Mus musculus: one gene and its partners. The main gene of each other region encodes a partner of the protein of the gene in region 6 in a complex. Links are inferred from orthologs where the notes say so. Each region holds a gene or a part of one and is shown on either strand. Other genes may lie near its edges. The genes, in order: Mybl1, Mybl2, Lin54, Ogt, Tfdp1, Rbl2 and E2f4.

Region 1 (3,782 bases), on a different chromosome or scaffold from region 6:
AATATTTGTTCATATGGGTATACTTAAATTTGGGCTAATTTACTTCCTGGAGATATATAGTCAACAATAAAATTGTCCAAATTTTTTCAGAATCGTTCTGATTTTCAGTGCCAACATCGATGGCAGAAGGTTTTAAATCCAGAATTGATAAAGGGTCCTTGGACTAAGGAAGAAGATCAGAGGGTAATATATTCATATTCTTTTGAAAAAATTTATTATTTATTTGTGTATATATGTTTGGGGACATGTATGTGTGTTTATCCTTATGCCACAGCTCACATGTAGAGGTCAAAGGATAATTTGTGGGAACTAGTTCTCTCCTTCCACCCACTGTGTGGGTCTTAGAGATCAAACTTGGTCATCAGGTTTAATGCCAAGTGCCATGGAGCCATTCCTTGCTCCTTGTTCATATTCTTTATGTTCACTGTACTGATGGATTAGATTAATTTTCTTATTAACATGGTTTAACACAAAGTATGATATGTGTGTGTGTGTGTGTGTGTATGCTAAGGTTGGAGGTGGACATACATGTATTGCAAACATATGTGAGGAGGCTGGAGGACTGGTGGTGTTTCTTAAGACAGTATCATTCGGGATTTATTTTTATGACATGGGGGCTCTCATTGGTCTTAAGGTTGCCAAGTAGGAGTAGGTTGGTGGGCCTGTGAGCATTATGGATCTGCCCCATTGCTGGGATTGCATGTATATGCCATTATGCCTGGCTTTTAAAAATGTTGTTTCTGGGTATGGAATTCAGGTTTTCATGCTTGCAAGGAAAGCACTTCAGTAACTGAACCATTTTCCCCAGTGCACACTTTAAGTTTGTTGGTTCTGTTCTTTGGAGGCTATAAGCATAAGAATTGAATGTTGAATGCCTTGAAATGTAGCTTTTTCTCTCCTAGGGCAAGGATAAGTGAGACAATTTATAATAAGTACTGTCCTTTTTGAGAGCTTCATTTACAAAAGGAAAAATACTTTAAAGTTTGGCTTAGCAACATGTCAGGCATAGTTTCCTATCAAAATTTAATTAACATTAAAAATAAATTTTAATTTTATTTTCATATTTAATAACTTGATATATTAGGAAATCACTCTTAATTTTTCCTCTTGACCGTAATGAATCTCATGATTAGACAAGTATCAGGACATCATGTTTCCAGAGGGGTTGTAATAAAAACCAATTATTTGTGCAATAAAAGTTGTTGAAGAATAGAAGCATCTGCTCTCTACTAGGAATTGCTCTTTAATTCTTACCCTTAGCTTTCCTGTTGCTAAGGTGCCTGTGGAATTAGGACATCCTTATACCCATAAGAGCAAACAAACAAAAGTTACTTCATGTGGCTCAGGACTGATCTGACTTTTCTTAATGGGCGATGATAAGTTTTGAAAATGTGATCTGGGGCTAGTGAAGAGGACAGTTGTCTTCTGTCTTCTACATAGTCACTGTGGTTTGTATTTGTCTAACACTCATACTTACAAATCATAAACATGCAAATAATAATAATAAAAATGATTAAGTAAAATACAATGTGAGCTCTGTTAAAAAGATATTTAATGGCTGGATCTAGTACATTGTCTATAATTCTAGCTACTCAGTAGGTCTAGATAGGACATTCATGGCAAGTTTAAGGCCTACCTGGGTAACTTAGTGAGACCCTGTTTAAAAATCGAAATGAAGAAAAGGGCTGGGAATATAATTCATGGTAGAACACTTGTTAAACATACCTAGTACTGGGCAAAAAAGAAAAACCAAAAAGCTGTAATCAAATAATCAAAGCTGTACATTTAACCTTTAAGTCTTATTTTTTAAAAATATGACAAGTAGACACATTTCAAGAAAATTGTGATAGATGTTAAACTTAATTAATCTACCAATACAGAGTGAGCATAATTCTTTGTGATTCATGTGATACTTGACTGGGTCAGAGTAGCAGCGAAGTAGGTGGGCCAAGGAGATGAACTGTTCTTTAAATTTTAGTTAAACTAAAAGCAAACAAAATATAGGACAAATGTACAAATGTTACTTCAGTTACTTCAAATTACTTCAGAATAATTATCTATGAGTAATTAGCCCCTTGAACTTTTTGATGCATTTTGGGTATTGATTTTTGAACTCGTTGAGTGCTGAAGGATAGCTATTATTAACATTACCTTCTGTGAATTATAGTTATAGCTGAAATTTAATCCATGTTTTCTTTTTTTGGTCTTTTGAGACAGGGTTTCTCTGTGTAGCCTTGGCTGTCCTGGAACTCACTCTGTAGACCAGGCTGGCCACCACGCCTTAAGTAGAATTCTTAATTTGGAGTTTTTTTTCTCTTTTTGTTGTTGTTGTTGAGGTGCTTCAGATCAAACCTAGGACCTTGTATTGGGAATAAAAGAAAAACCAAAATGTTCCGTAATGACCCCAACCTTGACTTGTTTGAGTTACATTTTAAAATTCTTTCATAGTAATAGTTTTTCAATCTTTGATTTTGCTTCTTAGGTTATTGAATTAGTTCAGAAATATGGGCCAAAAAGGTGGTCTTTAATTGCAAAACATTTAAAAGGAAGAATAGGCAAGCAGTGCAGAGAAAGATGGCACAATCACCTGAACCCTGAAGTGAAGAAGTCTTCCTGGACAGAAGAAGAAGACAGGATCATATATGAAGCACACAAGCGCCTGGGAAACCGTTGGGCCGAGATTGCTAAGTTACTTCCTGGAAGGTGCTTACATAAATAAGTTTCTGTGCTTCAACATGACCTTGACTACCTTACTATTGAATATATTTTCAAGTATTTCCTTTCTATTATTCACAATTCAAGTTTAGTCTGCATGCTATGAGCAACCATTTGGGTACATTTGTAATTTTGTGGTAAAGAATATAATTTGTACAATAAAATGGTAAAACCTTTAAGCTTTGCAAACATTTCATCTACTCCACAAGTCATGTTTATGTGTTATTGCTGGTAAGGCAGAACTTGTACAGCTGGTGGAGTGATATCTAAATTAGAGATCTCTTTCACATACTGTGCACAAGGCCAGGGGACTACAAGTACTTTGATTGAAGTAAATTCTTGTGAATGCATGTTACGGAAACTTAGCTCTTAAGCTGTGGGAGTAGAATATGAAAGCCCATGTAGCTGAAGTGTAGTATTCTCCTCTGAAGCAGTGACTAAGTGCATTCTCCACTGTACTGTTCAGACACCTTCTGACAGCCACTAGGACTGCAGATCTTATCTTAGGCAATTTCATATCTTAACTCAGAATACATATCCTCATGCTTCATAGCTATAGTCTCTATGTAGTACTTATAGTAACTAATATGCTTTTATATGCATTCCTTAATCTTTGTATACTTTAGAAATATGTAAAGGAAACATTAATGCTTTGTTTCATAGGAAATTAAGATGCAGTATTATATTTTCTTTTGTCCAAGTTACTATCCCTGGGCTGTGAACTTCTGATATATTCAGTATTTTATGCACCTTTTTACTCTGTGTAGAACCTCACTTAGTGCTTTAACAGAGTGGGTTTCTAGTAAGTGTATATTTTATGCAGAATGAAATTTATACTACAAATAGCTTTAGGTTCATCTTTATAAAAAGAACCTTGGGCAAAAAGGGAGCTGATGAACTCATTGTTTAAAAATATAATATTCTGAGAAATAGTTAAGAATATTTGAAATCTGTAACTTGTACTTTTCTTTTTCTTCCTGTCTCTTCTTAATGGAATTGAGGATTGACCCCAGGGCCTCATTCATTATAGACAACTAAACAAGCATGATTTTTTTTTTTTGTTTTTT
Region 2 (3,782 bases), on a different chromosome or scaffold from region 6:
CTACCCCTAAAAGTCCTCCAGGATCCCTAGTTACCAACTTGATGGTGTTTACATAGTTGCCATGGGAACAAACCTCTGCCAATCTGCAAGGAATTTTCTAGGTCCAGTTAAATGAGATGGGATAATCCACCCTAATATGGGCAATGCCCGCTCATAGGCTGGGGTCTTGGACTGAGTAACAAAGGGAAAGGAAGCTGAATGGGACACCGGTCTGCCTCTTGGCTGGCTGTAGTGTGACCAGCTGCTTTCAGCTCCTGTCATTGTGAGTTCCTCGCCTTGGTGGCCTATACCTTGGACCTGAAGCCAGAATAAGGCTGTCCTTCACTTCAGAGTTACTACTGACCTTAGCCAGCCCCGCTCCCAGCCCCACAGCCTCCTCCTTCTCCATGTGACCACTCGTCTGGACCCGCAGCCTAGAGTGTTAGCTCCAAGGGGGCAGGGCCAGCTCTGGGTTTGCTCACTGCGGGCACCTGAGCACCGGGCACAGGGAGATAATCGGTGAACACTGATTATCCAGTGTGTACCTGTGCCGGGCCCTCGCTGGGCACGAGATATTTATGTATGGAAGCGGAGGTAGGCAGAGGTGCCCACACACCTGGGAAGGAGAGAAGGGGAGGGTTTTGACAGGCGTGCTCTTCGGGGTGAGGCTGTTACAAGAGTCCAGGAAGGACAGGCTGGCACTGTTCTCTGTGACAGGCGACAGGGCCACACGCCGTTTCTTCTGTCGCTTGAGCACTGAGGGAGGTGTGCCAATGCCTGAGCCCCCAAACTCAGTGCTAGGAGAAATGGGGATCAGCTCCCCCCGACTGCTCCGGCTCAGGTCTGAAATAGTGTGGCCATCAAGGCGGTACTCAGTCACACTGGGCCCCGGCGTGGCAGCCTGCTGGGATGACTGCAGTGCCTCCTCCTGCTGCTGCTGCGACGTCTGGGGCTGCACTGGGCTGCTGACGACACTGCCCTCCGTAGAGGGTTCTTCAGGAAGGTCAAATTTACTCAGGTCGCACCAAGCATCAGGGTCCTGCCAGAGAGGGAGGTTAAAGGTCCTCCTAACACAGCAGAACTTAAGTGACCAGTGTCAAGTTCGGTCCCTTATCCACTTAGTCACTACTGTTAACTACTGTCTACATCCATTTCTTCAGTGTTCTACATATACGGAAACTTGAATGGGATGCTTGCCCATCAGCAGCTTTACAGTCCCCATAGCAACCGGCTGGGAAAACATGGCTTTGCTGGTTTATGGTTCATTACATACGTTTATGTGCTAGTGTAAGGAGTTAGGTCTCTCCTAGCTCGTGGGTCCTGAGGATTGGATTTAGATGGCCAGGCTTGGTGATAGGCACCTCTCTCTATCCCCTGAGCCGTCTCACTAGCTCCTTTGCTCACTTTCACATCAAGGAACCCACGCTAACTAAGCCCCTAAGAACAAACAGGAACCACATGTCCTCTGTCTTTACCCAAAGCTTTCTAGAAACAGAAGCTTCCATTTTGATCCTGGAGACGCTGCCCTAAGTAGATCCAGAGCCCGGTTGTGAGTTGTGGTTGTGGGGACTTGCCGGAGCCAGGGGCAGCTTATTCCTACTAAGTGGAAACTAGCTGGCAGCTGGGCTGACCCCAGAGCTCAGAGGTCTTGGAGACAGAAGGCATCTTGGTGGTAGGGAGCATGTCCTGCAGCAATGCCTGGGGAGGCGGCTGGGGAGGGTAGAGGGCAGGTTTTGTGCATCTTTCCCTGATCTTCCCCTTGGAAGAGTTAGACATAAGGACACCTGAAGGTCACACCAAAAGGAGTGGCTCCACCCACAGGCTCTCAGGCAAAGTCACTGTTTAGCTATTTTCTCGGAAATGACACATTCCCTCCTAGAGGAAAGTTACAAGAGCCATAAGGCCCCTCCCCAGGGTTATAAAGCAATAAATAACTGCTGGTGAAAAAGAGATTCTGCCCCCAGGTTTCATGTATGTTGGGCTGTAAGCTCCAGGGAGACTGCCTTTAGGAGTCTGTCACTCTTCTTCTGGTCATGCAGGAATCTTCCTGTCACCCACAATCCTGCTGGTATCTCCAAGGATTTCATTAGTCTGCCATGTTAGACCTGTGCGCAATTGCTTCCTTCATCTGTCCTCAGTACAGGTCTGGGGTAAACAGGTGTGTATTTGTCTCCTCAGGAAAAGCCGCACAGGGAGCACGGCCCACGGCAGCAAGCATGGCCTTGGCTGAGCAGCCAAACCCTCTTGTTGCTCCAGAGCAACCATGACTCCTGGCCCTTGGCGGCGCCTCTCCAGTGAGATCTAACCCTGTAATACCAATTCGGCCCATCTCTGGGAAGCCTTCTCACCCACTCCATGCTGGAGGGTAAATATTGTAATGACCTAGCTGGTGTCCCCAGCCTGCTCAGAGCTGGGCAGCCCCCATCATTCAATAAATGGTAGGTTGGGGAAGGGGCAGTTCACAAGAGAAGTGTTACCTGCTGTGTACCTGCTGGGATCAACATACCGACTCAATCAAGTCCAGAGCTTCAGAGAGGCTGGACCCCACAGCCGGGATGAGGAGGTTTGCCGCCTCTACCACCCACTTGTAGGGCAGGCTCGTTTCCGGGGAGGAGAACTCCTGGTATTCACGCTTGAGAGATTCTGGGGGCTCTGGGGTGCGCACTTCTCCCAGATCAGCAGGGACAGGCTCATGTCCGAGTTCTTTAGCAGAAGTAGCAGCTATGGCAATCTCCTCCTCGCTGCTCTCCTCCTTCACAATAGAGGGCACCAGCGGCCAGCTGCTCACGAGACTTCCCTGTAGAATACAAGGGCACACTGTAGATTTTTGTTGAAATATTGACCGTGCTGCAGCTTGTAGCTAAAAACACATAACCCAAATCAAGCATCAAAGGAACTCACAGGGACAGAAATTGAGAGACATTTCAACTGTACTGAGCACTTCAAAACATATTAGTATCATGACAGAGGCCAATGAGGCTGATGCATAAATGACACTGTCATTAACTAAATGGAACACAGACTATAGACGAGACAGAGGCCCTGGAATCAATGCTGGCCACAGCAGCACTTGTCTGCTGCCCCAGAAGTTGCGTGGTAAACCCCACAGCAGTGTGGGCTAAAAATTGCTCAGCAAGTAAAGGTGCTTGCAGCTGGGCTGATAACCTGAGTTTGGTCCATAAGCCCCATCTGGCAGAAGACACTCTGTTCCGACTTCCACATGTGTGTGTTTGCACTCATGCATGTGTGCGCAAGCGCAAACACACACATTTTTTAAAAAATGTCTTTTAAAGCAAGCAAGCAAACAAACAAAAACGAATCATTATCTCCACAAGGTTCAGGATCAATGTGGAAGTCCCTGGTTTAGAAATAAACACATCAGGAGCATATCTTAGAAAATACAAGCCAAATCAGGAAGGCCAGCCTGGTCTACAAAGTGAGTTCCAGGACAGCCAGAGCTATACAGAGAAACCCTGTCTCGAAAAACAAAACAAAACAAAATGCAGTCAAGTCTTGATTTTCCTTTTCCTTTTGTCTTTGTTGACCAGCTTCTGCCTCTGGGGTGATGGGGCTAAGGGCATGGGCCCCAGCACCCGGCCAAGATAAAGTAAACAGGACACACAGAAGCAATGCAGTAAGTAGGCATAGATCAGGCAAATGGTTAACTGAGCTGAGCCCTGGGGTTGCAGGCCTGTGGGAGGGAGCAAGGGCAAGCAAGGCCCTTTAGAAATGGGATGGAGACTCCATGCACGCTCCCTGAAACTCTTCAGGGTGCTCAGTATAGAATCTGAAAACACAACATA
Region 3 (3,782 bases), on a different chromosome or scaffold from region 6:
ATTTATTTAAATTATTTAGACTTAATTAAATGTATCTGTTAGGAATTCTTAGCGCTAGCATCTATCTACCTCCAGCCCCACACCCACCCCCCGTGGTTCAGACAACCTCCAGGGCCCCACCCCCACCCCCCATGACTCAGGCAACCTCCAGCTCACTGTGGAGCAGAGCATCCTCTGGACTCTATTTTCAAGTGTGACAACCACTGGGCTTGTACTTCCATGCCCAACTAGCTTCATTTAATTGTAAGAACATGTGTAGTTGCATCAAATAAGCAGACAGTAATAAACTACTCACAATTTCAAACACAGTGATTTTGTACAGTTACAGGGTTTTCTGGGCCGACTGGTAGACTCTGATGGAATTATGCTGTCCAGACACACATACACACACACACAAAAAAAATCAATTAGTTACTTAAAACTAGTAAAACAACCTCCAATCTATAAATTCTGCCTAACATAAAACATTAATAGATGCTTCCACTTCTGGCAAAACTTTATTAGAATGTCTCCTTTACATTTTAAAAAATATTATCAGCAATTGCTAGGAATACATCACACATCCTCTTCTCTCTGAGAGAACTGAAGCTGAAAAGCTATAAAAGCTCCTGGGGTTTCATCACGAAGAGAGAAGGAAGGAGGAGGAGGTGCGCGAAGAACGGGCAGTGGGACCAAATGGGCTGGTTAACTCAGCACGGGTCACAGACCAACAGAGCAAAGGCAGCCAAGAGCTGCCAAACAATAACATGGAGCCAACACTCAACACGTGAAGAACAGCACTAAACACCGTTTTACAAACATTCACAGCGAGCGGAGAAACACAGAAAAGCTGGCAAAGGACAGGAGGGAATCCATTGCTGATGGTCTCTAAACTTGTCCATTTCAACTATCTCAAAATAGAGTGCTTTAGACAAATGCACAGCTTTAAAGGGAAAAACAAATGGAATATATTTCAAATAAATCTATTTAATGCTGCACTTAAACTGACTTAATAATTCAATTTACATATTTTCAAAATACTCACCCATTGAATGGAAGCCTTGCCTGTGTCTGGATGCCAGATGTTCCAGTAAAATTAGAGTTGCTTGCTATAGACACATATGAAGACTGCTGTAACTATTAGGAAAAAAAAATAAGTTAATATTTGCAAAATTGATAGCACTCTCAGACATAACAATATGTAAGAAGCATGACTACCCAAAGATAAAAAGCAATGGGGAATTTCATATAAACTTGATGGCGTGTTTTTAAAGACCTCAACCAACACTAGTGAAATAGCATGAATGTCTAACAGCATTGAATGGTACAGATATAAAAAGACTACCTCACAAAGGACAATGTCAGGGTTATAGGAAATTCTAGGTGAACATCCTCCAATACCAAAATAACATCTCTCAAGTGAGAAATGCACCGGGCCCACACACAGCTCCTATCCACTCTGCACTGCTATGTGAACTCAGGAAGCATCGTGGTCCCCTGGCTGAGAGCCGTGGTTCTCGCTCACCCTTCCAGCCCCCAAGGCAGAGGCATGGTCAGCTCCATGCTGCCCTATACTAAAGTGTCATCCTGTCTCAAAAAGTCCCCAAGAAATGTACCTTACAAACTACTTTCCAGCACAAGCCAGTAGCATCATATCTGTGTGTGCAGATGAACGTTAGTGTGTGCACAGTCTTTCCTAAAATCACCGGGATTCTGATTTTTAATGTCAACTTTGTAAAATGCTTATCTATAGTCTTGCCCTATCACCAAACTATTCCAAACTACCCAACTTTTAAATCTTATTTCTGCTACATATCTCTAAATTCTAAACAAAAATAAATTCAGATGTTCAATTAATATAACACTTTAGAAAGAGCCATTTTAATACAGAGCTGATGTTTATATTGTACTTAGAACGTGGTAGAGTTAGACACTCTAAGGGCAAACAGCAGCTCCAAAGCATAGGCCCTTCACCCCCACGTACCTGAGTAACATACTGAGCTGGAAGCACTGCATAGCCCACATTCCCTGTTCCTGGAGCTGGTGCCAGCACAGTACCTGGTGGCAGGTTAGTGAGGTTGGGCTGGATCTGAGGCAGTGGTGTGGCAGGCATGATGAGCCGCTGCTGTGGCTGGCTGGTAGTTACAATTTGTGAAGTTGAATTGATTGGTTTTGGAACAACCTTAAAAAAAAAAAAAGAAAATTTGTGACTAAATAATACAAACCATTAATTTTATGGGAGCTTAATCCAGTATACAAATTATTTTCTAGCTTTTCAAAACAGAGTTTCTCTAGATGGCCTTGGCTGTCCTGAAACTGGCTCTGTAGACCAGGCTGGCCAAGTCTGACTCAGAGATCTGCCTGTCTCTGCTTCCCAAGTGCTGGGATTAAATGAATGTGTCACCATGCCCAGCTTCTTATAACTAAAAAGTAAATTGCCCTTTGGGAAAAAAAAATGGAGAAGCTACACAATACTCACTTGCTTAACGGCCTGAGCTTGGACAAATGGAACTGACATCCGTACAGGGGTGGTATTAACAACCACTGGTTTTGCTTTAAAAAAAAATAAATAATAATATTTACAAAAAACAGTACTGAAAACACTTAAGAATCCTTATCCTTCAAGCTATGCTTAGGAACCAGCTTAGAGCATCCCACCTGATTCTCACTTTGCGCATCTTTAATCAAAGACAGTTAGTTACCTTTCTTGAGAGGCAGAGGCAAGATCCATGGATCTCTGTGAGTTGGGAGGCCAGCCTGACTTACATAATGAGTTCCAGGCCTGCCCAGGCTACAATAAAAACCAAACCAAAACAACAACAACAATAAAGAAAAACACCACCAACAACAAAAGGGAGTAGTTACCTGTCACAGTTGTTATTCCCCCCAGCAATATGAATCTGAGGTGAGAAACCCCCCAGGGGAGGGACTATCTGCAGGCTCAAAGCTTCCCACTGAAATCCCTCAACCTGTGCTCAGAGCCGCATACAAAACCGAAAACAAATGCACTGCATTTACAAGTTCAGCTAAGCACACCATTCTGTGCTACTACTTTTACTTTCTGTGTTTTTCTTTACGCTAGAAAAAAGATCATGCTGGAACAACTAGGTATTTAAAAAAGACAGCAGGGCAAAAAGGCTAAGAGTCTGAGTTCTTGAGCTGGGAAGATGGCTCACTCAGCAAGTGCACAGAATTTAATCCCTGAAATTTACGTGGTTGAAGAAAAAAGCCAACTCCCACAACACTGACACACATGCATGTGAACACACCACACATGCACACACACAGACATGCATGTGCACACATGTGCACATACATAACACCCATGAACTTACATATACATGAGCAGTCACATATAGACATGTGCACACACATGCATATACACATGCACATATGAGCATATATGCACATGAACACATACTCACATGAATGCACACACTTACTAATAATGAAAAAGTAAGTTCTAAAGTCAAAAGACCCAGTGGTTCAAGACCCAGCTCTGCCACTTTTAAGTGTGTAGGCTCTTTGCATGTGATGTGAGTAGTAAATTCACTACTGCTATTACTGTAACCCTGCTACTGTATAAATGCTACTAAGGGCAGGGTACCCCAGGAGACTCAAGATTAAAGCTCTTGCTCTCAAGATTATACTCTTGAACAGATTAGGCAAGTACCCAAATAAAAGAAAAAAACAGGTCTTAAAAAAAGACTTCTAGGGCTGCTGAGATGGCTCAGTGGGTAAGAGCACCCGACTGCTCTTCCGAAGGTCCAGAGTTCAAATCCCAACAACCACATGGTGGCTCA
Region 4 (3,782 bases), on a different chromosome or scaffold from region 6:
AATTCTCCCATAGGTTTCAACTTTAATTCATCACAAAATTTACAGAGTAAAGAACAGAGCCAAACACAGAAATAAAGACAACTAACCAGAAGGGCATGGTAGCACCTACCACAATCTCAGAACTTATAGAGGGCTGAAGCAAAAGGAACACTACAGAAGGCCAACCTGGTCTACATTGTGTATTTCAGGCCAGACAGGGTTAGGAGCATAGTAAGTCTCTGCCTCAATGCTCCCCCTGCCACCCTACAAAAGAATGAAACAACAAAGCTGGGGGCTGGTGAGATGGCTCAGTGGGTAAGAGCACCCGACTGCTCTTCCGAAGGTCCGAAGTTCAAATCCCAGCAACCACATGGTGGCTCACAACCACCCGTAATGAGATCTGATGCCCTCTTCTGGTGTATCTGAAGACAACTACAGTGTACTTACATATAATAAATAAATAAATCTTTAAAAAAAAAAAAAAAAAAAAGAAACAACAAAGCTGGGCGGTAGTGGCGCACGCCTTTAATCCCAGCACTCAGGAGGCAGAGGCAGGAGGATTTCTGAGTTCGAGGCCAGCCTGGTCTATAAAGTGAGTTCCAGGACAGCCAGGGCTATACAGAAAAACCAAAAGAAAAAAGAAAAAAAAAAGAAAAAAAAGAAAGAAACAACAACAACACACAAACATTCTCAGAAATAGGTAAGGCAACTTTCTACTACTGTGTTGTTTTATTTTTAATGAGATGGGGGCCTCACATAGCCTTTGCTTTCTTTGAAAGAAATCCTCATCTTCTTAACACCCAAGATGTATTTCCTTTTTAAACTATTTATTCTTTTATTTATTCAGTAGGGTTTTGTTTTTGTTTTGTTTTGTTTGTTTTTTCCTAGACAGGGTTTCTCTATATATAAAACTAAAAATCTTTTAGGGGAAAAAAAAAATGGAAGGATCAGAACGATCACAGTTTTACCTGAGAAAGATCAATGAAATGATTGGCTTCCGCCATCACCTTCACTCGAAAGTTTGTACCATCATCCGGGCTCAAGGCATAGCAGAATACCTGAAAGGCAGGGAGGGGACAGTGTGCTCAATAACCTTTGCTCCAACCTTCTCAAAAGGAAGTGAAGTTAATGCTGAAGATGACAGGGTAAAGCCACCAAAAAACCCATTCTTACCTCAAACTTATCAGGATTATGCATGCCTGGAATAGACTGCATAAGGTGTGAAGTAGGGTGATTCCCGAAGTCAGAACTCACATAGCCTACACGCAATCGGCCATCACTGAGCTTCAAGTCTTTTGGATGTTCATATGGTGGTTTATGAAGGACATTAATCTAGCAGCAGAATAAATGGTCATTAGGAAAATCAAGTCATGTGTAAATGTTTTATCTAAAAAACCGTTAGAACTGAGACTGGTGATGAAGCGCAGTTGGTAGTGCGCTTTGCCTAGCACATATAAAGTCCTAGTGGTTCTGATGCCAGAACCACATGAAAAGCAGGCATATGGTATCCCAACCCTCAGGAGGCTGAGGCATATGGATCGCTGAGCCTACACACTGGGTTACCAGCCATCCAGTATCATGTAGTGAGACAAAACAACAACGACAAAAACTACATGAGCATGTTGGTGCACCCCTGAGACCCTGTAATTGTGAGGTAGAAATATAAAGGATCTGAGGTTCGAGGTGATCCTCAGAGAATTTAAAGCTAACCTGGCATACATGAAACCTATCCCAAACAAAGCTAAAACAAATGATGACAAATCTAAAATTGGAGAGCTGGGGAGCTGTCTCAGCTGTTAAGAGCACTGATTGCTCTTCCAGAGGTCCTGAGTTCAATTCCCAGCAACCATATGGTGGCTCACAACCATCTGTAATGGGATCCGATGCCCTCTTCTGGCCTATAGATGTATTTTATATGCAGCAGAGCACTCAGAAATTAAACATTAAAACAACCATATAAACCCACACCTATGAAAAAAACTTTGGATAGCAAACTTCATTTAGTTCATGTGGCCAGTTTGATGTCACCTTAGCAGTTTAGGTCAGCAGTTCTGTGGCAGCTGCACAGTGTGCATGCTTCATACATAACCTGTACTGAGACCTATGAAACAGCCTGAACAGATCTCACAGTTCTAGGAAGAAAGAAATGTGAATGGAGTAGGAAAACCCTTACCGTATTTTAGGAAATTCTGTGGAGAAGCATTTTTTGGGGGGGGGAGAGGAAGGAGGGAGGGAGAAAGAAGGAAAGAGGGAGGAGGGAGAGGGGGGGGGGGAAAGAGACAGAGAATCTACCACTGTTTCCTTCCTGGAGCAGGTTCTAAACTCTAAACTTCTAAAGTCGTGTTCTAATTCTCACATGCTCTATTTAAGCACCATGTAGGACTTTTGTTGTCCTTGCCTTTAGCTTGCCTTTTTTTTTCCTCCCTGAGACAGGTTTTCTCTGTGTAGCCCTGGCTGTCCTGGAACTCACTTTGTAGACCAGGCTGGCCTCGAACTCAGAAATCCTCCTGCCTCCGCCTCCCGAGTGCTGGGAATAAAGGCGTGCGCCACCACACCTGGCTTCTTAGCTTGCTTTTTAGATGGGAAGTTTCTGCTTGGTTGTGGTTTGGAGGCAGGAGCTATGTATGCTATGTAGCCTAGGCTGGCCTCAATTCACCATCCTCTGCCTCTAAGTTTTGAGATTACAGAAGTACTGGGATAGGTTTGTGCCACTATGCCTAGCCTAAATTTCCACCTTAAAGGAAAACACTACCATTAGAAACGAAGAACTGCGCTGCAGTCAGGCCACAGTGAAGCCACAGTGAAGAGTAGCTTCAAGGGCAGCTAAGACAGTTTCATTTCTAGCTGGTAAAGCCATACATTTAATTTATACAATGTTTTTCTCTATCTGCATTTTAGTTTATAACAAAAAGATTAAAACAGGAGTCACCTTATCCAAGCAGAGATTCCCATGCCTCTCTGCAATAGCCTTCCTGAAGCCATGGGAAAGAGGGTACAGCATGCTATGGTGAGGATGGACAGAAGGCAGTCTATTCTTCTCTAGCTGCTCAGCTACAATACTAACCAATTTCTTCATCCGCTCATCATAGTCTGTCCAATCACAGACAATCTAGAGGAAGCAAAAAGAAATTATCACCCAAAAAACCTACCCAAAGATTTATTTTACAAGTATTTGAGCTCCTAGAGTAGTATTAGGCAATCTCCTACAAGCATGGTCTTGCGGCTGGCTCGCTGAGAAAAGGCGTACCTTGCGTACCTGACAACGAGTCCAATGCCTAGGACCCAGGTGCTAAAAGAAATGACTCCTAAAAGCTGCCCTATGACTGCCAGTTGCCCCAAAAAAATAAAAATAAAATAAAAAATAAAAATGAAAACACTGTCTTGTCTCTAAACAGGCCTAGATTATTATGACACACAATTAAAAAATGGTGACGTTGCAGAAAGAAAAATAATGGACCATTTATTCTTTACCTGTAGGCAATGAGCCAAGTTACAATAAGCATCAGGAAAGTCAGGCTTAAGTTTCAGAGCTGTGCGGTAAGAAGCTATTGCTTCTGGGATATTCCCTGAATCCTGGAAAGAAAACGAACTTGTAAGGAGTTTCTTACAATGATAGGTCAGTGCTAAGGTACCCCATATTTGAATAAACAACAGTACCTTGTGAATGGAGGCCAGATTGCTGTGTGCATCAGCAAAGGCAGGATTAATCTGGATGGCACGAGTATAACACTGCAAAGCGCCCTGCACATCCTGCATCTCCTTTAGAGTGTTTCCCATATTGGAATAAGCATCAGCAAATGTAG
Region 5 (4,529 bases), about 78 Mb from region 6:
GGACAGTCTACAGTACCACAGGAAAGCACTGCAGGTGCGCCCCAGAGTATCTGCAGGCACTCACCCCCACTCCACTGCTCCGTGCCAGCTCCTGCCATCCCCATCCTGTCCACTGACAACTGCCTGCCCGGCTTCACAGCCCCGGTTCACAGTGAGCCCAACTTACCTGCTGGTCTGCCTGGGCACCAGCAGGGGCAGAAAAACCCTAAGTTATTTGTCTTCTGTCTGCCCTTCCTGCCCCTCTTCTGTGACCTCAAGCGTGACTTTTGTCTGTTCTCACCAGTGTCATGGCCTTCAGAGCCACATGTCTACAGGACCCTTTACAACCAGATTTCACTTAAGCATCAAGTGCTTAGAACACTTCAATGGTGCCTCTTTCTTTCCCTTCAGCATAAGTTACAAAGTCCCTTTCCGAACCCAAACATCACATCCTACTTAAAAACACAGTTGGCTACAGAGAAGACCCAACCCTTGACTGTCTGCAAGAAAACAGGGAGCGCCACTTCACCTCTGCCTATGTCTGTGCGCACTTGTTGGGGGACTAAGCTGCAGCATTCTGATACCCAGTCACAGCACTGGCCTAGCCACACCACAATGGCTAACCCCAAACCGGCAGCCGGACAGGAGCTCCTGACCACTTGCCTCCCCAGGGGACACTGCACACAGGAGTGTATAATGACAAACTAAGATGACTGGGCTTGAGTATGCTGACTCAGTGAAACTACACCATGCCATGTGGCCTCACAAAGGCACGGGAGCCAGCACCCCGTTTACACCCATTCACCAAATCTAGCTACTTTGTAGGCATGCGCTGGGTGGCATGTCTCTCATTAGGGCACTCGTGGGGACGGAGTCAGGACATGGATGTACATAGACAACAGATATAACGAGATCAAGCCAGTGCCATATGTAGTTGTGACTTCAGGTGACCTACACAAGGTCTCTCAGGGTGAGACATGACCCCCCCCCCCCCCCGGCCCCCAGGAGCAGGTCCGGTGCTCGATGACCAGAAGAGGGTCTGTTCCATGCGGGCCAGTCAGGACAGGACTCCGCACCTGCACCACGGTTCCGCTACACCTGGGCACAACTCTAGCTGATGCGGCATGTCTGCCTGCATTTCCAGGGCTGCACAGAAAAGGCATGAATCTAACAGTCACAGAACAGTGGACACTGAGGAACACTGGAACGGACACGATCAGTGTTGGAGGGAGTTAAAGCAATACTGCAAAAATGTATGTATGTGACCAACAATACAGACTGTATTTACAGCCTTAAAACCTAATTGTCCATACCTGTTTCCCAAAAAAACTTCAAAACGCTCGGTAGCTTCGTGATAAATATGAAGCTAAACCAACCAGCATTTCCACGGTGTTTCATTAATCACCAAATGTCATCTTTCTGAGAAAAATGTGCCCAAACAAGTAGTTGGGATTCAATCCATCAAAGCTGGATTACGGTCTTACGTACTACATAAAACTAGTACAGTGTAAGTTCCATGTTGACAGCTCTCCTGTGTGGAAACCCACTAACAAACAACACCCTCTCACACACTCATAACTGAGAGATGTATTAATTTTTTTATTTTATTTAAGCAGTTTAGATAAAGAAAAAAAAATCAAGACATCATCATCAAACCACGAAAAAAAAAACAAAAAAGAAAAAAAAAACGTGTCACGCTTCGGATGACAAAGACCATTTGTGCAGAGGGGAGACACCCACCTAACGACTCTCGCCATCATCCCTCATCTCCATCCCAGCTCCTGCCTGTAAAATGTCTTGGCCAACCCACTGCCACACACGTATGGCCACTCTCAAATAAAGGGAGAAAACTGCAACGAGCTGTGCCAACATGTCTGCAGCATGCAGCGACCATACTTACATCTTTTGCCATGTTACCAGATCCAGGAAATCAAGGCTTTAACTGCGTACCCTCCACAGAAGAAACCGTACTTATCTGGTTAAAAAAAAAAAAAAAAGAAAGAAAGAAAGAAAAGAAAAAAAGGGAGGGGATGAATAATGAATGAGAATGAGAAGAAATTTAACGCACATCGCATTTCAAAGGAAACATCTCCCCACCAGCACGAGGCAGAGGCAGGCCTCCAGGCAGCAGGGGCCTTTCTTGCACAATCCCGACAGGAGAGCTAGCCAAGCAGGTCCCACACGGGGATTTTAAGTCACCTCTCTAAATGGAAATGCTCCCTGCGGGCACCAGCAGCTCCCACCGGCAGCGGGGCCAGACCCCGGACCCTTGGCTGAGCGACGCGCAGCCGTCAGGCTCACCCCACCTGGGCACGCGGGCCCCGCCTGACCACAGGCCCCGCCGAGGCACAAGGCCCCCCACTTGGGCACACGACACTGCGTGGCTCCGCCCGGGCCGCGGCGGGCACCCCCCACCCCGGGCTGCCCAAGACCCCGAGGGGCCGCCGACCACTCTGACAGGTGGGCTCCCGGCCGCCCGCCCGCTCGCCCCACCTGTCACTAGGCCCAGCCACCAGCCCCGCGCCCTGGCGCGGACAGAGCCGGAGGGTGGCCAGGACCCCTGCCCGCCGCCCACGCCACGCCGCGTCGAGGCCGACTCCAGCTGAGGCTGGGCGGCGGGCGGGATGCGACCGGACGCGGGAACCGGGCTGGGGCGGGAACGGGGCCGCGCGCCCAGCCTGCGCCCTCCCGCCGCGACCGGCCGGTGCCCCCGCCACACCTGGCTGGCCGGCGGGGCGCGCGGGGCGGACGACGGGGGCGCGGAGGCGCCGGCCCGGAGGTCCGGCCCTGGCGGTCCCTGCCCTGAGCCAGCGGCGCCGGGACGCGGGCTCACCCTGGGCCGAGCGTCGGGCCGGCGTGACGTGCGCGCGGCGCGGTGACGTGGGCGGCGGCGGGCCCGCTGCGCGCAGCGCGCCTGCGCGCCTTTTCGCGCCTTCGGCGCCCTCCTCCTCCTCCTCCTCCTCCCGCCGCTCATCTCCCGCGCCTCTCGCCGGTGCTACCCGCCCTGGGAGAGGGGCGGGGCCTGCGCGCGCGTGCGCGTGCGGCGGGACCCGGCTGGAGACCGCCGACGCCGAACAGCGCTGCGCGCGTCTCCATGTGCGCTCGGAGAGAGGCCACGTGTGTGCGCGCCTCTGTGTGTGTGTGTGTGTGTGTGTGTGTGTGTGTGTGTGTGTGTGTGTATGTGTGTGTGTGTGTACACCAAGGGCCAACTGTATGCATATCTGTGTGCATGCGCAGGGAGTAGAGGGCCACGTGTTTGGCTCTGTGTGTGCGCGTGTACCACGCGCGCCAACGGTGAAAAGAATGTGGTGTGTGCCATACCTGCATGCACACGTAGGGAAAGGATCATGTGTGTGCACACCTGTGGATATGCAGAGTCTGACTGTATACACGTGTGTGTACATGGAGTATCAGTCGTGTGTGCACGCCTGAACATATATACAGAAGAGAACCCTCTGTGCAAACATATGGAAACCTATGTTAATGTCTGCGCACTGAAAAAAAGCAGGCGTGTGTGTACACATGAGAAAAAAGAGGTCAGTTCTGAGAGTGCTTTAAAGTACCTGCATGTGCACACAGGGAGAAGAATCTTGTTCATTTACACAGAACAAAGTAAAGACTGTTCGGATGCATACTGAACAATACAGAGACAAGATCCCCCACCTCTGCTCAACTACTGACCTCCACAGCCACATGCCCTGAGCCTGGGCTGTCAGTGATTCAGGGCAGGAAACAGCCTGTTAATCAGGTGTGTATGCATTTGCGCCTTTCACTTCAGAAACCTTCTGCTTCATCCCAAGAGGGGTCTGGTAGACCCTGAGCCTTGAAGACTCAGTCCATCTTAGAGGCCACTTCTTTAAGACTAAAGCTGGAGAGCCTGGGAGGAGAATAGGCTGGGGCTCACAAATCAGTCCAAATGGTTCAGATAAAATGACACAACGTTTCCCAAGAATATGGGACTGAAGAGCAGGGCAAAGTTAAGTACTATCAGAAAACTGTTAATGTGAGTGACCGGATTTTATTCTGGAGGAAAGGTCAATTTGACTCCCAAACTGACAGATCTTTCTCCGTTACCTGGCTGCCTCAGTCCCATGACTCAGCCCAACAGCCCTTCTTTAGCATCTGGCCGAACTGTCCGCCAGCAGCTGTCCTGTTTGAACACTGCTCAGCGGCTTTGAGGAAGCAGCCCTGCAACCACAGCTGCTTATTGCTGAAGCAGAAGAGGCGATACCCAGGCATGAGTGTGTCAATAGCTTGCACCAGAAATACCCAAGGCATGAGTGTGTCAATAGCTTGCACCAGAAATACCCAAGGCATGAGTGTGTCAATAGCTTGCACCAGAAATACCCAAGGCATGAGTGTGTCAATAGCTTGCACTAGACTCTTTGCCATCACAAGCTCTGGTAAGCTCTAGTAGCAGTTTTCACCCAGAATTTGGGGTTGGGGGATGAGGGGTTCAGGGGGAGGGGGAGGGAAGCATCTCTACTGGCCAAGCAGAAAGACTGTGACTGGTGCAAACATCCTTCCCACACCCCATTTCTGACTATATA
Region 6 (4,475 bases):
GAACAGCCTCAAGTGTTATTTCCCAGGCCCCTCTCTTTTTCAGATCCTGCCTCTCACTGGCCAGCAAGTGAGACTCTCCTCAGGACTCCACCAGCTTATGTTCTCCCCCCCCCCCGCCCCCCTCCACCCCCCCCCACCCCTCCACCTCCCCACACACCTCCACGCCCCCCCCACCCCACCCCCCGCTGCTGAGATTACAAGCCAACCCTCCATTCCTGGCTTTTAACACCTGCTCCCGCAACACATGTGAGTTATACAGGTTGATCTCAGGTGAGGGATTTTTTTTTTGCCACTGAGAATCTCCCCAGCCCTTTTCAATCAATGTGTTTATCTCCACTAGATTCTCTTCACCACTTAAGCCCATGCAATGTGCCTTAAAAGTTTCTTTTCCGTGAGCAAATTCTTTGAAATTCCCTTCATATCTAAGCTTAGTTAGAGATTCGGTAGCTTTAACACCTCAAATCATAAATATAGGAAAGTTTCAAGCCCGGGGACAAAAGGCTGAGGTGCCTATTTAACATATCAAAGAGGACCTGGCTGCTCTGTTCTCCTGGTAGCCCTCAACCTCTACCTGTTACCATAGCCAGCCCCCTACCCAAAACTCTCCAGCTCAAGGGGTGGGCTGTGCTTTCCTATATAATCCAGACATTTTAGTTTCTAGCTCGGTGTACCTTTGGGCCTTCTAGCTGCTGCACCTGGTTCCCCTCTCTCCCCTCTCTCCCTTCACCTCCCGCGCCCCCTCCCCGCACTCTCCTCCCTCAGGTGGCTCAGGGTCATGTCCACTCTGGACTCACTCAGATGTCCCTGCTCTACGCTCTTCCTTTTATCTGTAAGAAACTTTAGCCGTATCTAGGAGCAGTTATGTGATAGCTAATATACATTTTAAGTTATTCTTGAAAACACATTCATGATTATTTGTGTGATTGAGGGTTGAGGGTTGAGGGTTTTTTATTTTGTTTTTGTTTGGTGAAGTGAGATCAATTCTTAGCTCAATATACCTTTGCCATTGATAGCGTTGACATAGGAGTGTCACTTGAGGAATCCTCTCTGTTGGATTGACCTGTGGGTCTTGCCTAGGGAGGTGGCGGCCGCGGGGGTGGCGTTGTATTAAGAAAGTAGCTGATAAAGCAACGGGGAGCTAAGTCAGTAAGCAGCGTCCTGCTTTAACCTCCGTCAATGATGAACTGTAAAGACTAAAATGAAATAAGCCCTTTCCTCTCCGAGTTGGTTACAGTCCGTGTTTATCTCAGCAACAGAGACTAGAAAGGGCAGGCAAACTATTATCTTTACTTTGGACCTTTTAGCTTTACTATCTGAGGACCTCTAGGTGAGGATGTGTGTAAAGGGCTTATATACTAAATCCTGTCGATATTTCTTGGTCTTTTTCTCTTCAAACGAGCCTTCTGAATGGTCTCACTATTGAGAGATGCTTTTTAAAACGGTAGAGGACGTGTCCATTCACCCCTAAATGATGCACAGCTCGTTTTTTGCTTTCTTCTTCCATGACTTTTGGTCTCCCTGAGATCCCGGCCGAGACTACATTTCCCAGCAGGCCGTGCTCAGACCTACGGGTGCCCGCATGGGACTGAGGAACTTTGGGGGCGGCACAGTAGCAGGACAGGCTGCTGACGGGCCGGCGCTTCGCGGTTTGAATGGCTGCGGGCCCGGGCCCTGAGCGCATCTGAAGAGCCGCGGCCTCGGGGTGCGCCATGGCATCTGGAGGCAACCAGTCGCCACCGCCTCCTCCAGCTGCTGCAGCCAGCTCGGAGGAAGAGGAGGAGGATGGCGACGCCGCGGATCGCGCGCAGCCCGCGGGGTCCCCGAGCCATCAGATCCAGCAGCGGTTCGAGGAGCTGTGCAGCCGCCTCAACATGGACGAGGCGGCGCGCGCCGAGGCCTGGAGCAGCTACCGCAGCATGAGCGAGAGCTACACGCTGGAGGTGCGTGCTCAGATCCTCCGTGGAGATCGGGGACTCGGGGTGGCCCTAGGATCACTTGGTCGTTTGCCCCGCACCATTGCCTCCCCCTGGCTTTGCGGCCGTCAGAGGAAACTCATTAAGTTTCAGGCTTGCTTACGTGTGAGAATGGCTTAGGATTTATTGTCCCCCACCCCCCGGGCAGATGAAAAGCGGGTGTAGACACACAACATTTGTTGCTGAACTTGGGCACTCTTTTTGGCTGTCATCCAGGTGTAGGCTTGTTATGTTCCGTTCTTGGGACGGGGCTTTGCAGTTGACGAAAATGGCTATTCGGGCTAGTGCCTGTCAACTCTGCAGGCACCTCCCCTGTATGGGCCAATGGGAAGTGACACGGAAGTCCGGATTGTTTTTCAGCTGCCTGTGCGTATGACCCTTTGATTTTATATATGGAAGCTTATCGAAGTAGCAGAGCAAAGAGGCCCCCGACCCGAAGGCTAAGCAAGGTGTTATTTAACTATGATATGGATGTACTTGTGCCATTCTTCTGAGTCGGTTTATTTCTATTTTTTTAAAAATCGACACACATCGAATTCCCCTCTCTCCATTTGTTACACTCACAAAAAAAAGAAACATGGCAGCTTTAGACCTGTGTCTGAGTGACTCTGGACAAGTTTTTAACCACAGTGAAACTCAGTTATGTTGTGTGAGCAGTTTTGTTACTTGTGCCCACTTCAAAGTGCTTACCTAAAGCTTAACTAAAGCAATGTGTGTATGTGTGCAGAAAATTTCCTAGACTGAAGCAGTCTGGCTGAAGAGACCGTAGCCGCCTTCCTTACCCAGTGTTTCCGATAGCCAGGCAAAGAGGAGAACTTCTGGTTTGAAGGACACAAATACTCCCAAACGAATTCTTACTTCACCTTAGAGATGACGCTGTAAATTAGCAAGAATGAGTATTATAACATAGCAGAGACTTCAAATCACAGACTAAGTCATATGAAGCCTGGTGTCACATATGCAAGTGGCATTTAACAGATGCTTAGTAAATTAGTGTGTGTGTGTGTGTGTGTGTGTGTGTGTGTGTGTGTGTGTGTGTGTGTTGGTCAGAGGACGGCTTTGGGGAGTCAGTCTATCTTTTCACCCGTGGATCACTGCAAGTCTGTTAAATCTGTTGGTCAGCTAGTGCCTTTACCTGCTCAGCCTTGCCAGCTCGACTAGTAAATCGTTTTGAAAACATAGTCACTATTTCTTGTTTGGCTGAGGCGTTCTATTTATTTGTTTGTTTATTATTTATGTCTTATTTGGATTGGTTAGTGAGGTTTTAATCTCGATTCTTAGCCCAGTTGACCCTTGCCATAGCTTCAGTTGTCAACTTGACACACCTGGGAATGGGGAGGCCTCATCTGAGGAGTCACCTCCATCAGATGGATGGTGGGCATGCCTGTGGGGCATGGAGGTGGGCATGCCTGTGGGGCATGCTCTATCATCAGATGGACGGTGGGCATGCTCTATCATCAGATGGATGGTGGGCATGCCTGTGGGGCATGCTCTTAGTTGCTAATTGATGTCGCCCACAGTGGGCTATGCTGCCCCTCCTGGTCCTGGACTGTATAAGGGAGGCCTCATTAGCTGTTTCAGCTCTTGCCTCCCAGTTCCTGCCTGGAGCTCCCAATGATAGCCTGTAACCCTTTCCTCCCCAAGTTGCTTTTAGTCATGGTGTCTATCTTAGCACATCTAGGACAGCCCTATACTGGCACGAATACTTGTTCATTTTGGAGTATTTCCTGAGCCCCTATCTCTTGCCATAGGTTTTCTAGGTACTGGGAAGAAAGCAGTGGGTGAAACCTAAAACTCCCTGATGCATGAGTTTCCGGTCAGGAATACTGGAGAATAAGTAATGTAGACCAGCAGTTGTCTGAAAACATACAGAGGAAATAAAGCACACTTGATCATTAATACTTACCATCTGCTTTAGAATTCTCTCAACTGTTTTCCTGAAATCGATTTGAAAATTTTATTTTATGCAAATAAATGCTTTGCCCACATGTATGACTATGTACCAAAATGCAGGCTTGGAACCTAAAGAGGTCAGAAGAGGGTGTCAGAGCCCCTGGATCTGGCATTATTCGGTGAAGTGCCACCACATGGGTACTGGGAACGAAAACAGAGACCTCTGGGAGAGCAGTCACTGCTCTTAACCACTGAGCCATCTCTCCAGCCCCATATTCTGAATTCTTGTAGTTTATTTAATTCTCACTGTTGTCAATGAAGAAAATGAAACCTCTGGACTTAAGTAGTTTGCCCATGGTGAGCTCTCTAATATGTGGCCAAGGCAGATCTACTTGAGTTCCATGGCCATGGACTGTGAATTAGAAATATCTCTTCTCCCCACTTCCACCCATTTTTTTTTTGTTTGTTTGTTTGGGTTTGGTTTGGGTTTTTTGGGGGGGAGCGAAGGAGGGGAGTTATATGAGACAGGGTGTCATCTAGTACAGCCTGGCCTTGAACTTGCTGAGGGTGTAGCTGAGAATAACCTTGAACGTCAGATCCTCAAGCCAG
Region 7 (2,886 bases), about 14 Mb from region 6:
GGGGTGAGGGACTTCTGGGAGGGGTGGGCTGGGCTGGCCAGAGGGAAAAGGAACAACCCAGAAGCGAGAGGCGGAGTTTGGACAGTCCCATTGACCTGGTCTAGCTGGATAAGCTGTGGGATGGCGTCAGACATCTGAACAGCAATCTTCACCACATTCCGCGGGGGCGCCATAGTCCAGCCGCGGTGGCCGCTGGCACTTGGCACTAATGTGCCACCTCCCGCCGAGAGTGCACCCGGTCTAGGGTCTAGGACTTGTAGCCTGCACTCACAGCCCAGGTTCCCACTCCTGATCGGGCTCCGAGGCCTTCCCAAAGGAGCCTGTTAGTTCCGGGTTAATCTCAGGGGTAGGAGGGTAAGACCCCGCCTGCCCTGCCCTGCTCCGCCCCGTAGAGGCCTGCCTGGCCCCGCCCCACACCAAGGTGCAGCAGGTAGAGGCTGTGGCAGCAGGCTTCCTACACAGCAGCCACACCTCCCATTCCAGTAAGGTGACCCACCCAGTCTCAGCAACAATCCAGCGTCCCAGGTAGGGGCCCCAAAGAACCAGATCAGAGATAGCCTTAGGCATGTCTTTATTCACTTGAATGCTGTACAAATATTACATTTCCTTTTGTTGAAAAAAGTATAAAAATAATCTTTATATAGGAATTCATTCGTTACTGTAAATCTTTCTAAATCTCTGCAATGGCTCTAAATGAGGGTAAGTGAATAAGTGGAAGTGAAGGGAGATGGGGGTGGGTGGGCAGGAGCTGGAGCCATTCTTAGGTACCAACCCTCCCAGACTCCTAGCTAGACACAGCAATTCCTTATTAACCCCCTCCACCATGACTGCCCAGAGATCCCAGGACTCTCAGGGAGCATCCGAGATGTCCAGAGGCTGCAGGGTGAGCAGGTGGGAAAGGAAAGGTGATGGTAGGCAACCACCCAGCACCACCCTCTCTCTGAACCTCCTTCATAGTGACTGGTAGGAACAAGGCAGAGGTGCCACTGAGGGGCAGCTGAGCCTGGCTGGGGAAGGCTCCATGTAGAGAGGGCTAAGCTCTCTGCCCAGCTATGCTAGCACAGTCACAAGTGCCAGTGCAAGACAGGAGAGCACAGCCCGAACTGAGCGACCAGAAAAGGCTGAGTAAGCCAAGAGTTGGGCTCTTGGGGTTAGGGTGGGGGTGGGGGGCAGTCCCTAGTTGGCTCCAGGCCCAGACAGTCTGGGTTGCAGCTGCACAGGACATGTCCCTGTCAGTCAGAGTTTGAGAACAGGAACATCAAAGAGATCACAGACACCTTCACTCTCGTCCAGGTTGTAGATGTAATCGTGGTCTCCGGGAGGTGGAGAAAGTCGGAGGAGGGGGGCAAACACTGCAGAAAGCATTAGGCTGAGGTCTTAGGCCAAGACCCCCAGCAGTCACCCACCCCCTTGCTCACAGCTACCCTTATCTTCCTGGGCTACCCACCTTCTGAAGACATCAGTTCTTCCAGCAGCTCGGAGCTCATGCACTCTGGGAATGAACACAATTCATTCAGATTCTGGCTCTTGCGCCTCCACCCACCAAAGCCCAGGAATGAGACCCCCACACAGGCCCATTAGGAACCTCACCCTTTTTCTGGGATACCCAGCAGATACCCTTAGAAGGGAACCCAGAACTCAAACTATGCTCCTTATGCCCTGCATCCAATCAAAAGGAGGAACACCGCCTACCTCTCGTGGGGTCGAAGATTTCTGACAGCTCTTTGGGGAGATCCAGAACTGAAAGAGAAGAAAGCCAAGCTCACAGGAAGCTCAGCTGAGTTCTACTATAGTTCAGCTTGCTTCACGTCGTACACCACTAGGCTCCAGGGCTCTACACATTCCTCAGGTTTTTATCCGCTGACCTACATTCTTCGATGCTGAGCCAAGGCTACCAAAGGTCTAGTGCAGGTGACACATCCAGCTATTCTCAGAGGCACTGTAGAACCCCCTTTCTGAGCCAGCAGTGCACATCTTGTCTTACACAAGATGGATGCCCTGTCTCACAACCACGTCTAATTCCAGCTCCAGGGGAATCCAACACTGCCCGTACACAACACAGCATTTACACATTTACACACACACACACACACACACACACACACACACACACACACACACGAAATGTTTTAAAGTTTCGGGGGGGGGGGGTAGACGACAATGAAATAAGGCATCAGGCACAAATGCTTGTCTGGAACACTGACATCCTAATGCCAATCCCTGGAACATCTTGGGGGCAGGAATGCACATGCATCACTCTCCATCCCCAGCGCTTCCTGTCGTTGCTGGCGACATGTCCTCATTCATGCTTAGCAAGCACTTTACCACTGAGCTGTATTTAAACACTGAGAAATACCAATCAGGACTGCATTGCTGAGTCATTCCATTTCTGAGAATAAAGAAAAGGATGGCTGGGCGGTGGTGGTGCACGCCTTTAATCCCAGCACTTGGGAGGCAGAGGCAGGCGGATTTCTGAGTTTGAGGCCAGCATGGTCTACAAAGTGAGTTCCAGGACAGCCAGAGCTACACAGAGAAACCCTGTCTTGAAAAAAAATCCACAAAAAAAAAAAAAGAAAGAAAGAAAGAAAGAAAAGGATGGTTTAATGGGTTAACAGGCAATAGACCATGCACGATATAATACCAACCTACCTGGCAATGTGGCAATGTGCCTCCTGGTACAGTAGTGGCGTAACTTATGAGGGCAACCAACCCCTTTCCTTGTCTTTAAGGCCAGCTCCACAGGAAGTAATTCCTACCAGACTGATACTGTAAACCTTGTCAAACACCATGGCTAGAGAGATTGTTGACCCTAGGGGGAACTTACTGCTGTTGCTTTGTTAAATGCACACATTACCAAACTGCCTCCTCAATTTTTATGCTTCTTTG

Evidence for each region.
Region 1: Rbl2 (region 6) and Mybl1 share a complex: the UniProt entries of both Homo sapiens proteins name them as parts of the DREAM complex. The link is inferred for Mus musculus from reciprocal best matches to the Homo sapiens genes RBL2 and MYBL1.
Region 2: Rbl2 (region 6) and Mybl2 share a complex: the UniProt entries of both Homo sapiens proteins name them as parts of the DREAM complex. The link is inferred for Mus musculus from reciprocal best matches to the Homo sapiens genes RBL2 and MYBL2.
Region 3: Rbl2 (region 6) and Lin54 share a complex: the UniProt entries of both Homo sapiens proteins name them as parts of the DREAM complex. The link is inferred for Mus musculus from reciprocal best matches to the Homo sapiens genes RBL2 and LIN54.
Region 4: the proteins of Rbl2 (region 6) and Ogt are in contact, whole or in part, in a crystal structure (PDB 4XI9), measured with the Homo sapiens proteins. The link is inferred for Mus musculus from reciprocal best matches to the Homo sapiens genes RBL2 and OGT. Residues at the interface, in NP_001310537.1 of Homo sapiens: Thr417, Pro418, Val419, Ser420, Thr421, Ala422; in NP_858058.1 of Homo sapiens: His506, His508, His509, Asn567, His568, Pro569, Tyr642, Thr643, Lys644, Gln849, Phe878, Val905, Ala906.
Region 5: Rbl2 (region 6) and Tfdp1 share a complex: the UniProt entries of both Homo sapiens proteins name them as parts of the DREAM complex. The link is inferred for Mus musculus from reciprocal best matches to the Homo sapiens genes RBL2 and TFDP1.
Region 7: Rbl2 (region 6) and E2f4 share a complex: the UniProt entries of both Homo sapiens proteins name them as parts of the DREAM complex. The link is inferred for Mus musculus from reciprocal best matches to the Homo sapiens genes RBL2 and E2F4.

Annotation. Positions count from the first base shown.
Region 1 is NC_000067.6:9,686,482-9,690,263, reverse strand, and holds part of Mybl1 (myb-related protein A), read left to right. Parts: intron 1-90; coding exon 91-183; intron 184-2,482; coding exon 2,483-2,703; intron 2,704-3,782. UniProt on the Homo sapiens protein: Transcription factor that specifically recognizes the sequence 5'-YAAC[GT]G-3'.
Region 2 is NC_000068.7:163,071,618-163,075,399, reverse strand, and holds part of Mybl2 (myb-related protein B), read right to left. Parts: intron 2,777-3,782; coding exon 2,486-2,776; intron 1,019-2,485; coding exon 596-1,018; intron 1-595. UniProt on the Homo sapiens protein: Transcription factor involved in the regulation of cell survival, proliferation, and differentiation. Transactivates the expression of the CLU gene.
Region 3 is NC_000071.6:100,451,977-100,455,758, forward strand, and holds part of Lin54 (protein lin-54 homolog), read right to left. Parts: intron 2,533-3,782; coding exon 2,459-2,532; intron 2,162-2,458; coding exon 1,964-2,161; intron 1,117-1,963; coding exon 1,025-1,116; intron 368-1,024; coding exon 296-367; intron 1-295. UniProt on the Homo sapiens protein: Component of the DREAM complex, a multiprotein complex that can both act as a transcription activator or repressor depending on the context. In G0 phase, the complex binds to more than 800 promoters and is required for repression of E2F target genes.
Region 4 is NC_000086.7:101,667,286-101,671,067, reverse strand, and holds part of Ogt (UDP-N-acetylglucosamine--peptide N-acetylglucosaminyltransferase 110 kDa subunit), read right to left. Parts: coding exon 3,637-3,782; intron 3,553-3,636; coding exon 3,451-3,552; intron 3,089-3,450; coding exon 2,909-3,088; intron 1,312-2,908; coding exon 1,153-1,311; intron 1,038-1,152; coding exon 948-1,037; intron 1-947. UniProt on the Homo sapiens protein: Catalyzes the transfer of a single N-acetylglucosamine from UDP-GlcNAc to a serine or threonine residue in cytoplasmic and nuclear proteins resulting in their modification with a beta-linked N-acetylglucosamine (O-GlcNAc).
Region 5 is NC_000074.6:13,337,090-13,341,618, reverse strand, and holds the start of Tfdp1 (transcription factor Dp-1), read right to left. Parts: upstream 2,869-4,529; 5' UTR 2,813-2,868; exon of another isoform or gene 2,699-2,812; intron 2,678-2,698; exon of another isoform or gene 2,179-2,677; intron 1,955-2,178; 5' UTR 1,892-1,954; coding exon 1,880-1,891; intron 1-1,879. UniProt on the Homo sapiens protein: Can stimulate E2F-dependent transcription.
Region 6 is NC_000074.6:91,068,467-91,072,941, forward strand, and holds the start of Rbl2 (retinoblastoma-like protein 2), read left to right. Parts: upstream 1-1,590; 5' UTR 1,591-1,709; coding exon 1,710-1,940; intron 1,941-4,475. UniProt on the Homo sapiens protein: Key regulator of entry into cell division. Directly involved in heterochromatin formation by maintaining overall chromatin structure and, in particular, that of constitutive heterochromatin by stabilizing histone methylation.
Region 7 is NC_000074.6:105,303,039-105,305,924, reverse strand, and holds the end of E2f4 (transcription factor E2F4), read right to left. Parts: intron 1,741-2,886; coding exon 1,693-1,740; intron 1,493-1,692; coding exon 1,448-1,492; intron 1,353-1,447; coding exon 1,237-1,352; 3' UTR 555-1,236; downstream 1-554. Other genes in the region: Elmo3 (engulfment and cell motility protein 3), read right to left, coding at 96-173. UniProt on the Homo sapiens protein: Transcription activator that binds DNA cooperatively with DP proteins through the E2 recognition site, 5'-TTTC[CG]CGC-3' found in the promoter region of a number of genes whose products are involved in cell cycle regulation or in DNA replication.